3 linked regions of the Rattus norvegicus genome follow. The protein of the gene in region 2 binds, or shares a complex with, the protein of the main gene of each other region. Links are inferred from orthologs where the notes say so. Each region holds a gene or a part of one and is shown on either strand. Other genes may lie near its edges.

Region 1 (3,647 bases), on a different chromosome or scaffold from region 2:
GCCTTAGCCACCAGAGGCCAAGGTCATCTCCAAGGAGGCTCCAGAGAACAGCCAGGGAGCTGAGGCTCTTGACAGTGGGGAGGGGGACTTGTTCCAGCCAGGAGAAGTGATGGAACCAGACTGTAGGATGATGTCATTTATGCAGGTGAAGGCAGGTACAAGATAGAACAAGGCCTGTCATTGGACGAGAAGGAAGGATGGGCGGGAGAAAAGTTTTAGAGAGGAGGAGAAGACTGGAGATAGAGGAGAGGAAGAAGCAGCCAAAAGAACATGGAGGCGGATGTTAAGATTCTACTCTGGGGCTGGAGAGATGGCTCAGCGGTTAAGAGCACCCGATTGCTCTTCCAGAGGTCCTGAGTTCGGTTCCCAGCAACTACATGGTGGCTCACAACCATCTGTAAAGAGATCTGATGCCCTCTTCTGGTGTATCTGAAGACAGCTACAGTGTACTTATATATAATAAATGAATAAATAAATCTTTTAAAAAAAAAGATTCTACTCTGTACCTTTGTAGTTTGTTATGAATGTTCTTAAGGGATGGATGTGTACAGGGCTTTGTATGTCTAGGTGGGCAATTATATCTTATCAGTTGGATCAGAGGTTACTGTGTTGTGTGTTCTTTCATGTGGCGATTTAATTGAATTCCAGAGAGTGTGTGGTGGCTGGAGACACTGGGCCGCCATGGAATTGGGATATATTTCTGGCATGGCGGCAACCTGCCTTGGGAACTGGATGGGTAGAGAGATTGTTGCCAGGCTCAGAGAGTGCGATATGGGATGGAGCAGAGCGGGTGAGACGCTTGGCTGACTGAGATGAAGACATCTAACAGATGTCCTGGGGCGCTGTGGTGCCGGATCTAGTGCGGGATAAAAGAACCCTTATTTTAATTTTACGGCAATACCAGGGGACCCAGCCCAGCAAGCCCTTCCTGTGAGCCCCCAAGATGGAGAGAGCGAGACATGAGGGAGTTGAAGCCTGCGGCCAGCCTTACCCTCGTCCAATAAAGACTCCTGGTGACTTACAGAGTAGGTGACGCCACTGGAGGACACAGGGGACGTCTCGTTGTTGGCAGAGGAGGTCACAGCCAGAGAAGCCAGGGCAGGGAACAGACTCTCCATCTCTGGCTCCTCTGAGAGGTTGTCCTCGCTGTCAGCCCGACCGTGCTTGTCTGCCTCGCCAGGCCAGCCGTCCATCATGGCGCCATCCTTCTCGGGCAGGGCCACGTCCAGGCTGCCAGGGATGGACATGAACTCCTCCAAGCTCTCGTTGGCAAGGAGGTCACTCTCAAGACTGTCTTGTACTGCCAGCTCCTCCCGGGGGGCCTCGTCCCGGGAAGTGGTGGCCTCGCTGCTCTGTCCGTCTTCCACACTGCTGTCCCCAGGCCGAAACACAGCGGGGAGGCTGCGCTGGACATCCAAGACACTGTCTTCGGTGCTAAGACTGGGCTCTGAGTGCTCTGAGAGGCCGGAGGAGAAGTTGTGGGAGGAAGGGTGTCCGGAGTCTGGGGAGCAAGTGCCGTTTGCTGGGTTCCCATTGGGGATCTTGGGGTGTTTTTCTTCTGACCTGCCTTCTGCCTCTGTCTGTTCCACCTCATCCACTGACTCAAATACCTGAGGAAAGGGACACACGGACGTGCGAGTCAGGACGGGCATGGCAGCACAGCTTACAGCAGCAACTTAATATCCAACAACAGGGACTACTTGAGGATGGATGGGGTGGAATAGCACGCAGTCAGCACAAAGGCGGTGTGTTCCAAGTGCTGAGGTCTCATTGGCAATTCAACTGGCTGAAGCTGGCTCTGAGGAGGGCGACTAGGGAAACAAGTTTGGGAGAGGGGTGTGGCTTCGCAGGATACAAACCTCTAACACCTAGACTTACTTGTGTTTCTATGCCCTTCAGCCATTAGCCCTCAAGTTCACAGTAAAGACCAGGGCAAAGCCTCACACTGTTTCTCAGTTCACTGGGTCTACTTCTGCTCCTTCATGAGCAGGGATGGGACCTTGTCATGTGCATAAGCTTGGTGTACACACACACACACACACACACACACACACACACACACACACACACAAATTATTCTACCCAGAAGGTAATATTTTATACACATTTTTATACTTTTCATTTTAAAAGTTATTTTATTATTTGTTTATTTATGTGTGTAGATGTCTGGGTGTGTGCACACATGAGTACAGATGCCTTTGGAGTCGAGAAGAGGGCGCCAGATGTCCTGGGGTTACACCTGGTTGTGAGGCACCCCACGTAGGTGCTGGGAACGTATGTATGTATGTATGTATGTATGTATGTATGTATGTATTTGTGTGTGTCTCTGTGTGTGCACATGAGTGCCGGTGGCCTTGCAATCCAGGAGAGGGCACCAGATCTCCTGGAGTCACACCTGGTTGTGAGGCACCTCATGGAGGTGCTGAGAACTAAATCTGGGTCCTCTGCCATAGCAGTTTGTGCCCTTCACCACTGAGCCATCACTCCAGTTGTGCTTTTCCTTTTGTTTACTGAGGCTCCAGGTGGAGTGACATCCAAAAGCTATTGCACAATACAACACGTCTGCTAGCATTTATGTGGGATCTTAAGAACTACCAAGTGTAGTGGCTTGAATAGTTTTGCCCCTCTTTTCCCAGACTCATGTGCTCGAATGCTCGGTCCTCAAGGACTTACACTATTAGGAGATGTGTCCTTGTTAAATAGGTGTGGGCTTGTCTGAGGAAGTGTGTCACTGTGGGGTGGGCTTCTGAGGCTCCTATGTTCAAGCTCCAACCAGTGCAGAAGACCCTCCTCCTAGCTACCTGCAGAAGAGAGACCTTCCTTTCTGCCTTCAAGATGCAGAACTCTAGGCTCCTCTAGCACCATGTCTGCTGGCATGCTTCTTGCTATGATAATAATGGACTTAGCATCTGAAATTCTAAGCCATCCCAAATCAAACGTTTGCCTCTATAAGACTTGCCTTGGTGAAACCCTAAGTGAGACACCAAGTCTTTCTATACATTATATATTTCCGTGTATGTAAAGGCATCCAGAAGGTTCTGGAAGGCCACACCGTGGACTTGTGATCATAGTACAGTTGTTTCAAGGGAGGACAGAGAGGAAGGAGGCAGAAGCAAAGTGTGGTTTACTATTTTATAGAGGAGCAGACTCCTGGTCAGCCTCTGAGTTCATAGGCCCTAGGTCCAACTAAGATTCAACCAATGCTGAGTGAAAATACCCACAAACCACTGCACCTGTGTAGACCCGACTGGGGCGTGCGCCCTTCATTCCTAGTGACACAGCCCGATGGTTATTTCCATGTTGTTTGCACTGCACTGCTCTTGTGAGTGGCCTAGAGGTGACCTGACGAATGCAGCACATTCTATGCATACCCTTGTCATTTTACCCCGGACTTGGATCCCGGGATGCTCAGGTCCACAGGGTCTGCATCCCACTGCTGTGGGTTTCAAGGAGGCAGCAACTGCTTGTAATACTCCCAATATTAGCCAGAGAAAGTGGAACGCATCCAGCATAGCAGCTGTTGAATGATGGACATCCAAACCCTACCACCGAAGATGGGAGGGTGGGGCTTGCATGGATGCAGCAGCGGGTGTGGGAGGCGGGCTTGTGGGCGGGGCTGGGCATGGGTGGGGGCGGAGCCTCTGAAA
Region 2 (4,279 bases):
TAGGACCATGTAAGAACCTGGGCTCATAATTGTGACTCGAGTCCAGCTTCAGAAAGGTAGAAGCTCTGCCGCTATGCTTCCTTCTGCGCAGCACCTTTGTACCATGCCCCCCAGGATAAAACCTGTGGATGATAATAAGGGAAAAACACATTTCCTAAGTCAACTGCAGAGGTGCCTAGTAGCTCAAAAGGTTTTGTCATTTTTGTCTAAAAATTCTGAAACTGTGTGTAGGTGCACATTCCTGTAATCCCAGAACTTAAGAAGTTGAGGCAGTAGAATCAGGAATTCAATGCGGGCCAGTACATAACAGCAATACTGAGGCCAGCTTTAAAAAAGAGATTCCATTACCAGGTATTCATAAACCTTATAGAATTTAGCCCCAGCACGCTTTTTTTTTTTTATTAACTTGAGTATTTCTTATTTACATTTCGAATGTTATTCCCTTTCCCGGTTTCCGGGCCAACATCCCCCTAATCCCTCCCCCTCCCCTTCTTTATGGGTGTTCCCCTCCACACCCTCCCCCCATTGCCGCCCTCCCCCCCATAGACTAGTTCACTGGGGGTTCAGTCTTAGCAGGACCCAGGGCTTCCCCTTCCACTGGTGCTCTTACTAGGATATGCATTGCTACCTATGAGGTCAGAGTCCAGGGTCAGTCCATGTATAGTCTTTAGGTAGTGGCTTAGTCCCTGGAAGCTCTGGTTGCTTGGCATTGTTGTACATATGGGGTCTCGAGCCCCTTCAAGCTCTTCCAGTTCTTTCTCTGATTCCTTCAACGGGGGTCCTATTCTCAGTTCAGTGGTTTGCTGCTGGCATTCGCCTCTGTATTTGCTGTATTCCCCAGCAAGCTTTTAAAATAATAAAAATGCTATCTTAAACAGTAAGACACTGTGCTTAAAGAACTATAGAATGGCCTGGAATATGAACCAAAAAAATGCTTTTCTCCATTTTTTTTTCAAATATCCCCTGAGAGGATAAAATTGCCTCCCACAGTGCAGAACTACTACTTCAAAAAACCCACAAACATATTTGAATTTCAACATTGTTCCCTCACTCCCTAGGTGACCTTGGCAACGAAATCTAACCTTCCCGGGTACCAGCAAATTTCTCAACTGTAACAGACGCATTGCTTTGGAAACACCAGGAAAATGCAAAGGATGCACTGAGCGTACTGACTCAAACAGAACCAGCTCATGTGAGCCGGAGTAGGTCTTCCCAATAAATGGTTAAAAAATAAAAGAATGAGGGAGGTTAGAAATTGCTAGAACTAAGAGAACTTGAGGCCTCCAGAGTACTAGAATATAAAATGGAAGTAGTTGAATGGGGAACATGTAAAAGGATGAGGCTGGAAAAGAGACGACCGCCAATGTCTTTTCCTGCTCTCCAACAATGGACGGTCTGGTTTTTGCTTGTCTACTTTAACCTTCCAGAAAATAAAACATAAATATCCTTCAATTCCTCCAATGTTCTAAGTAAGTAAGCCTCCAAAACCATAAATCTTTCAGTACAGCGAAACACTACAATGCACATGAAGAATCCCCAAAGCAAGAAGACACGGCCACTTAAATACAAAGCTGGTATATGTTGTTACTTGGAGCGCTACACAAGAAGTGGTAACTTCTAACTAAGATTATAAAAGACAAAGTAAAAGCAGGGCACTTAAGTCCCTTAGCTGAGGGAGGAGTTGCGAATTTCGCACAGGGGTACAGCTCTTTCTTAGCAAGCACAAGGCCCTAGGTTTGGTCTCCAGCAATGGAAGAAAAAGAAAAGAAAAGGGAAATAGTTCGTAGATAGTCCCGGGTTTCCTTCAATTCTAGTTGAGATTTCAGGCAGTGCAGGGATTTTCCATTGCAGTAGAGCTAGCGAGGAAAAAGGGAAAACTTGTACCAACAAAACAAAACAAAAACCAAATTCAGTCTGTTGATTTTATGAGGACGCTGTGAAAAGCCTGGTCACGTGCCAATTCGGAAACTTGCAGAAAAGTTATTCCTCAAAAGAAGTATGATCATGGGATGTGTCATCACTTAAGAAACAAAACACAACCATAATACGTTCACCAATCATTTAGTCAGCATTTAAAAGTCTCGTCTAGTCTTTTCACTAAGACGGAGGGATGGAAGAAACGCGATTCTGAAACCTCAGGCAAGATCTGAATCTGACAATGTTCCCAACCCAACCGCCTACACGTTCTTTGCCCTGGCTTTAACTTCCTAGCTCCCTCACCTGAGTGGGTCAAAGGGTAACATGTCAGAGGTCGCCAAACTCAAATAACACAAGCTTGCCTTCCCCAGCATTAGTCACACAGGGGCAAGGTTTGGTCTCGAGCGCGTGAGTGTCCCCGTGTGGTTAGGGGAAAGATTGGTGTATATGCTTATACCCAGGTATTTGCATTGTCCCTGAGAGCATCGTTCCACCATCCTATTCCCAACTGTTTGGAAAACATCTCTTTCCTGAGATGTTTTAAGGATCTGATCTGTCTGTCTCTCTGTCTCTGTCTCTCTGTCTCTCTCTCTCTGTCTCTCTGTCTCTGTCTCTCTGTCTCTCTGTGTGTGTGTGTGTGTGTGTGTGTGTGTGTACGCGCGCGCGTATATGTCCCGAGTGATTGGGTGTGTGCTCCTCTTCCCATGTGATTGAATGTGGGTCATCTGGAGAGTAGGGGACAAGCTGCCCCCGTTGCCCAGCCGTCTATAGACCCGCGCCAATTTGGCTCAACCCTCGCCCTGGCGGCCTCAGCTCCGGCTGCTCAGCTCCGGCTGCACGCGCTCTTAACCAGCTCTGGCCGGATCTCAAATCGGATGATGACCCCCACTCACCTTGCAGACACACACAGGACGTCCTGGGAGCTATTCGCCAACACACCTGGGTACAACCAGGGCAGAAAGAGGGCCAGAGAGTCGGGAATGTCGAGAGCACTTCCAGCAGGGAGCGACTTGGGCAGAAGGACCAATATGGCGGTCAGGCGGGGCGGGGCCAAGGCAGAGGGGCGGGGCCTTGACAGTGGGGCGACGGGACGGGGCCTGAGTCAGTGGGGCAGGGCCTAGAGTGGTAAAGCAGGGCCCAGGTCGAGGGCGGGGCCTAAATTCATAGGGCGGGACCAGGAGCTACGGGGCGGGGCCTGCGGTGGTAGCACCAGGCCAAGAGCTGTAGGGCGGGGTCTGGACTGTGGGCGTGGCTTGCGGCAGCGATCCCAAACCCTAAGGCAAAGACCCTAGTATGGATCGCAGGAATTAGGCCCAAGGAAGGCAGAGCCAGGAAGTCTGGAATCTGCTCTCCCCACAGACTGCTTTGCAAAATTGCAGTTTTCCTTTGTGCTAGCTGCTGCTCTGGCCTTCCCACCTGTGTTCCTTCTAACTGTGGTCACGAAGTAATAAGTTATTCTTGAAGTTTAAAGTAGAAAAAGATCATAAAAGTACTATAACAACAGTATTGAACCTTTAAAAAACAAATGTGCAAATGAGCAAAGAACAGGCAAATGGCAAAGGAATAAGGAATATGTTTGCGAACTGTAGACTAATAAAGACCTTTTTAAGTTTTTAAGTGTTTTTCCTTGTTAAAGTACTGCCTCCTCAGCTCTAATTGTAAATCAATAATGGCAAAACGTAGCCTCAGAGGCGTTTGCATTTCTTTGCTTTATAAGGGGAATTGAGTATATAGAATGGTAAAAAATAGTCATTGGAAGAAAGATTCTTAGCCCTCCATAAACATAGATTATGTTTATTTTCTAAGAAAAGACATTTATTTTTATGATCCACAACAATTTACATAATGTCTGCCTCTTTGTAGAGTCATTTTCAGGTAATAACCTTTCATCAAGCACCAGAAGATTATAGTTAGCAAAGTTTCTCACAAGTATGATTTTAGAATAATTATGAAAATAAGGCACATAATAAATATTGAGTTCCAGTTTGAATTTTAATGTTTTTTTCTTATAAAAAGAAATCTATTTTTATATGTGCAGAATATCTCCCCAGAGGAAATCTGAATAAAGATTTAATGATATACAAATCTGTTGAATATGGAGAAGTGAGCTGGGAATGCAGCTCAAATTACAGTGCTCGTCTACCATACAGGAAACCATGGGTTCCAACCCAACACCACATCAACCTACTAGCATTCTAGAAGTGGAGACAGGAGCTCAAGATCATCATGGTACGGAGTGAATTGGTACATAGGATATACGAGACCATCTCTAAGGAAAAATATGACTACTTTTCACATAGAAGGAAAAACAGAATTCAATAGTATACAATTTAACCATAAACATTTAAGTAATCAAGATGTT
Region 3 (4,233 bases), on a different chromosome or scaffold from region 2:
TATACCAAGCTAGCTGGCTCATGAGCTTCTGAGGATCCTGTCTGTCTCTTATCTTGCTGAGAGAACACTGGAATTACAAACATGTGCTACCACATCTGACTTTACCTCAGTGCTGGGGCTCTGAACTCAGCTTGTCACACTTGTTTAGCAAGCGCTTTACCCAGTTACCTGTCTCCTCAGCTCAGGAAGCCCCTTTCTAAAACTCCTCTGGCAGCAGTACTAGCTATGTTTACTAAACTGGGAACTGTATCCAGTACCAGCAGGGAGTGGATTCTCTGCTATAAGCTTCAATTGAGTATAGCTTCTCTGGTGATGATTTTGACAGGATCCCATCTCTCTAGGTTCATTTGCAACCTTTTCCTATTGGATCCTTTCTCAGACAGGCTGTTCCTTGTGAGTTTCTATCTGTAGCTATGCAGAAGGCCTCGATCTAAACATTCAGGGTCAGAGGATCACCTAGCCCTGGTTTATTGTACGTAAATTTATTGCATGGGCTCAGTTTGGGCTTGGTTCAGCTCCTGAGCTGGTGTTTCAGTGTAAGTTAGACCCATTGCTGAGCCATTCATAGATGTAGAGGCATGTTTAGGCTTGGTCTTTCCCAGATGCTGTCCCGGCTCCCTGAACCACACAGAATGAGAATGGAGCATTGGGGTACTATTACAAGAAGATGGCAGAATCAGTGAGCAATGGGGGGAGGGGTGCTTATAGATCATTCACTTTCTGTCACTTCAACTATGGGTATGATGACAAAAGTGACATGTTTTCTCTGAACTGGGAGAGAGTAGGTCTCTTGTTTGTAGCTTGTATGCCAAGCTAGCTGGCTCATGCAGCTTCTGAGAATTCTGTCTCTGTCTCTTGTAATGAGAGCCAAGCAGTAGTGTTGGTTTTGTCTTGAAGAGTGATATTTGTGTGTGTGTGTGTGTGTGTGTGTGTGTGTGTGTGTGTGTGTGTGCGCGCGTGTGTGTGTGTAGAGTCCTGTCCCTGTGCTCACCTAGGTCTGTGCAGTCCTACATAGAACTTCCTTCCATTTCCTTTCCTTCTGCCACAAGAGGAGCAGGGGTTTTGAAGATACCTTGTTTTGATCTACGGGCCAGATGTTAAATGTTTGTGCAGAGATAAACGTAAGCCTTGGGCTGTAACTGAAGATAGACTACTTTTTATTTGGATTTAGTTTTGATTTGAGAGGACGAATTTTTTTTTTCCTAATTTGATCTAGCATGAAGTTCAGTCTTTTAGTGTTGCTTTTTGTTATGTTTTGCTGCTTGTCTTTAATTAAAGACCAGCTGCTACCCAGAAAAGCTGCTAATTTCAAACTTTACTCCTAGACATCATGCCACAGGAAGAGTGAGCTCTTGCCCATTTTACCATGGAGGACTCAGGAAAGACTTTTGGATCAGAGGAGGAAGAAACAAACTATTGGAGAGACCTGGCCATGACCTACAAGCAGAGGTCAGTCCTGCAGCTTCCCTCCCTATTCTCCCTGGGAGGGTGGTGGGCACCATGTCTTATCTTGAGATGAAGAAACTAGGATCACCTTTCTCTACAGAGGCCCCCCGAGCAATTGAGAGCTCAGACAGCCTGCCCATGGAGCAGCTGTGAGAGGGAGAGTTGGAATTTGAACTACAAACTGAGTCACCTAATCATTCTAACATATCATTGTATGTTCTGGGTGGGTCTTTATATCAGGTCTTCTATGGAGAAGATTTGCCTGTGCCTATCAAAATAGGCTGCTGCTGAAGAGATGCCTCAAGGTTAAGAACACTTGTTTTTGTAGAGGATCCAGGGTCAGTTCCCAGAAGCCACATGGTAACTTACAGCCAACCTTAACTTTAGGTCCAGAAGGTCTGATGCCTTCTTCTGACCTGCTTGGGCATCAGGCTTGCATTTGGTCCACATACATGCATGTAGGCAGAACACTTGTACACAGAAAATAAAATTGAAAAAAGTTAGCCTCTTGAAGATTTTGAACTTGAAAACTGGTGTTTCAGTGCACGCATCTAATAGTAGAGAGGGAGAGATGGATCCAGCACTGTGTAATTCAGGCTGATCTTGAATTTGATCTTGAATTCTTGAGCCTCCTGCCTCAGACTCCTGAATGCTAAGATTATAGCTGTGTACTTCAATGCCAGTTCTTATAAACTGTCATCTTTTCCATAAAATGGGAATAATGGTAGCTGAATAAAGTCATGATCCACACACCAATACCAGCATCATTAATTCTGTGATAAATGTATTTGTAATACTGCTACAGGGCAGAGAATACTCAGGAGGAACTCCGAGAATTCCAGGAAGGAAGCCGGGAATATGAAGCTGAATTGGAGACTCAGCTGCAGCAAGCTGAAACCAGAAACCGGGACCTATTATCAGAGAATAACCGCCTTCGAATGGAGCTGGAGTCTGTGAAGGTGAGGGGCCCCAGGGGACATGTGTACAGAAAGGAATGGCTTGTGGCATTCCTTGCATGGCTGGAGAAGCAAGGAAGTGGCTGCACCAGGCCCACTACTTTCTGTCCTCCCTGTGTCTGGTTATTGTATCTTTTCTTCCCCAGTAGGTGGAAATCTGTGATGAGCAAGCCATATACATGGCCTACAGCCCTTCTTGGTGGTGTCTGTACTGGTTTCACAAGGGACATGGCAAGGAGAGTTCTTCAGAGACTGCAGTGTCAGAATTGTAGCTCTTTGAGACTGAGTCAGATAGTCCAGGCTCACTGTGACCAGCCCTGAATTTACTATGTAGCTGAGGGTGGCCTTGAACTCATTGCATTCACTTCCTAAGTGCTGGGATTAAGGGTAATCACCATCCTGCCTGGCTCTAGAATGTCTCCTACTTGTATATTACAAGGTACAGTATGGCATCTCTTAGCTGAATATGGCTATTGAAATGAAAGCTAATGAGGAAAACAATTAATTCTATTAACATTACCACAGTTCAAGTGCTCTGTAGCCACATATAACTCATGGGTTTCACTTCTGGGTACAGGGACTACAGAATATCCTCTTCTAGAACAGTCTGTTGGACCATGCCAGTCATAAGCAGGTTTATTAACTGGGCACTACAATAGTCCTACTCAGACTCCTTGGCTTTATTTTCCATGGTTTGGGTTACCAGTAATCAAACAAAATCCAAAAAATATTAAATGGGAAATTCCAGAAATAAACAAGTTATACATTTTAAATAAGTTTTATTATGGTATAATATAATTATTCCATTTTGTAATTATTACTAATTTCTTAGTTTGTAAACTAAGTATTATAATGTAAGACAGCAAACATGGGAATAACAAAACATGTATAGGGTTTGGTGGTCTCTGAAGTTTTGGGGGGATGTAGCATAATGTCTTAGAATGTGTCCTCTCAGGTAAAAATGAAGCTGGGGCCTGGGTGAGTGCATGTGGCTATGAATACCTTGAATGATTCATTTGAAGGTTCATGGGCTCTGCAAGGACCAGGTGAGAGTGGACAGGATGGTGGTAGCAGGTAGTGAGAGGATTAGCAGGCACATGGTTGGGAAAGTTGGGGCATACATTCTTTGAATGACTGTCACTTAATCATTCACAGCATCTTCCATTGTCCTGGCTAGTTTTTTGTCACGCTGAAGTCATCTGAAAGGAGGGAACCTCAGTTGAGAAAATGTCTCCACTATAGGGCATTTTCTTAATTAGTGGTTATGGGGGAGGGCCTAGCCCATTGTACATGGGGCCATTCATGGGCTGGTGGTCTTGAGTTCTATAAGAAGGAAGGCTGATCAAGTCACGAGGAGCATGCCAGTAAATAACACCCCTCCATGGCCTCTGCATCAGCTCCTGCATCTAGGCTCCTGTATTGTTTGAGTTCCTGTCCTGACATCCTTTGATGAACCATGATATGGAAATATAAGCCAAATAAACCCTTTCCTCCAAGTTGCTTTGGTCATGGTGTTTCATCACAGTAATAATAACCCTAACTAGGATAACAACTGCTTCTCTTCTGAAATTTTAGGTCTATGGAGAGAAGGTTCTGTTAACTGAGCTCAGGGGAGGCTAGGAGAGGAGGCCTGAAGCTGCCTGTTGAGGCTGTGCCTCAGGTGGGAACTGAGAATGCTTGCACAAAAGCCCCAACACTACATAAACTGGACATGGTAGCTCATGACTATCCATGGAAGGTGGACAGGACAGGCAGTTCAAGAGTATCCTTTGCTTCTTGGGTACATAGTTTGTTTGAGGCTGGTTTGGCACACATGAAATAGTATCTCAAG

The links.
Region 1: the proteins of Rab9a (region 2) and Sgsm1 are in contact, whole or in part, in a crystal structure (PDB 4QXA), measured with the Mus musculus proteins. The link is inferred for Rattus norvegicus from reciprocal best matches to the Homo sapiens genes RAB9A and SGSM1. Residues at the interface, in NP_062747.1 of Mus musculus: Phe37, Thr39, Ile40, Gly41, Val42, Glu43, Phe44, Leu45, Trp61, Arg68, Phe69, Leu72, Phe76; in NP_766306.2 of Mus musculus: Leu256, Leu257, Tyr258, Gly259, Lys260, Asn261, Asn262, Tyr277, Asn294, Met297, Asn298, Gln361.
Region 3: the proteins of Rab9a (region 2) and Nde1 are in contact, whole or in part, in a crystal structure (PDB 7E1T), measured with the Homo sapiens proteins. The link is inferred for Rattus norvegicus from reciprocal best matches to the Homo sapiens genes RAB9A and NDE1. Residues at the interface, in NP_001182257.1 of Homo sapiens: Ile40, Val42, Phe44, Asn46, Gln59, Trp61, Arg68, Phe69, Ser71, Leu72, Pro75, Phe76; in NP_001137451.1 of Homo sapiens: Asp99, Gln102, Thr103, Ala105, Ile106, Gln109, Leu110, Tyr113.

What each region holds. Positions count from the first base shown.
Region 1 is NC_086030.1:49,023,227-49,026,873, reverse strand, and holds part of Sgsm1 (small G protein signaling modulator 1), read right to left. Parts: intron 1,611-3,647; coding exon 1,023-1,610; intron 1-1,022. UniProt on the Homo sapiens protein: Interacts with numerous Rab family members, functioning as Rab effector for some, and as GTPase activator for others. Promotes GTP hydrolysis by RAB34 and RAB36.
Region 2 is NC_086039.1:31,608,748-31,613,026, reverse strand, and holds the start of Rab9a (ras-related protein Rab-9A), read right to left. Parts: upstream 2,939-4,279; 5' UTR 2,811-2,938; intron 1-2,810. UniProt on the Homo sapiens protein: The small GTPases Rab are key regulators of intracellular membrane trafficking, from the formation of transport vesicles to their fusion with membranes.
Region 3 is NC_086028.1:1,380,569-1,384,801, reverse strand, and holds the start of Nde1 (nuclear distribution protein nudE homolog 1), read left to right. Parts: upstream 1-1,366; coding exon 1,367-1,449; intron 1,450-2,251; coding exon 2,252-2,405; intron 2,406-4,233. UniProt on the Homo sapiens protein: Required for centrosome duplication and formation and function of the mitotic spindle. Essential for the development of the cerebral cortex.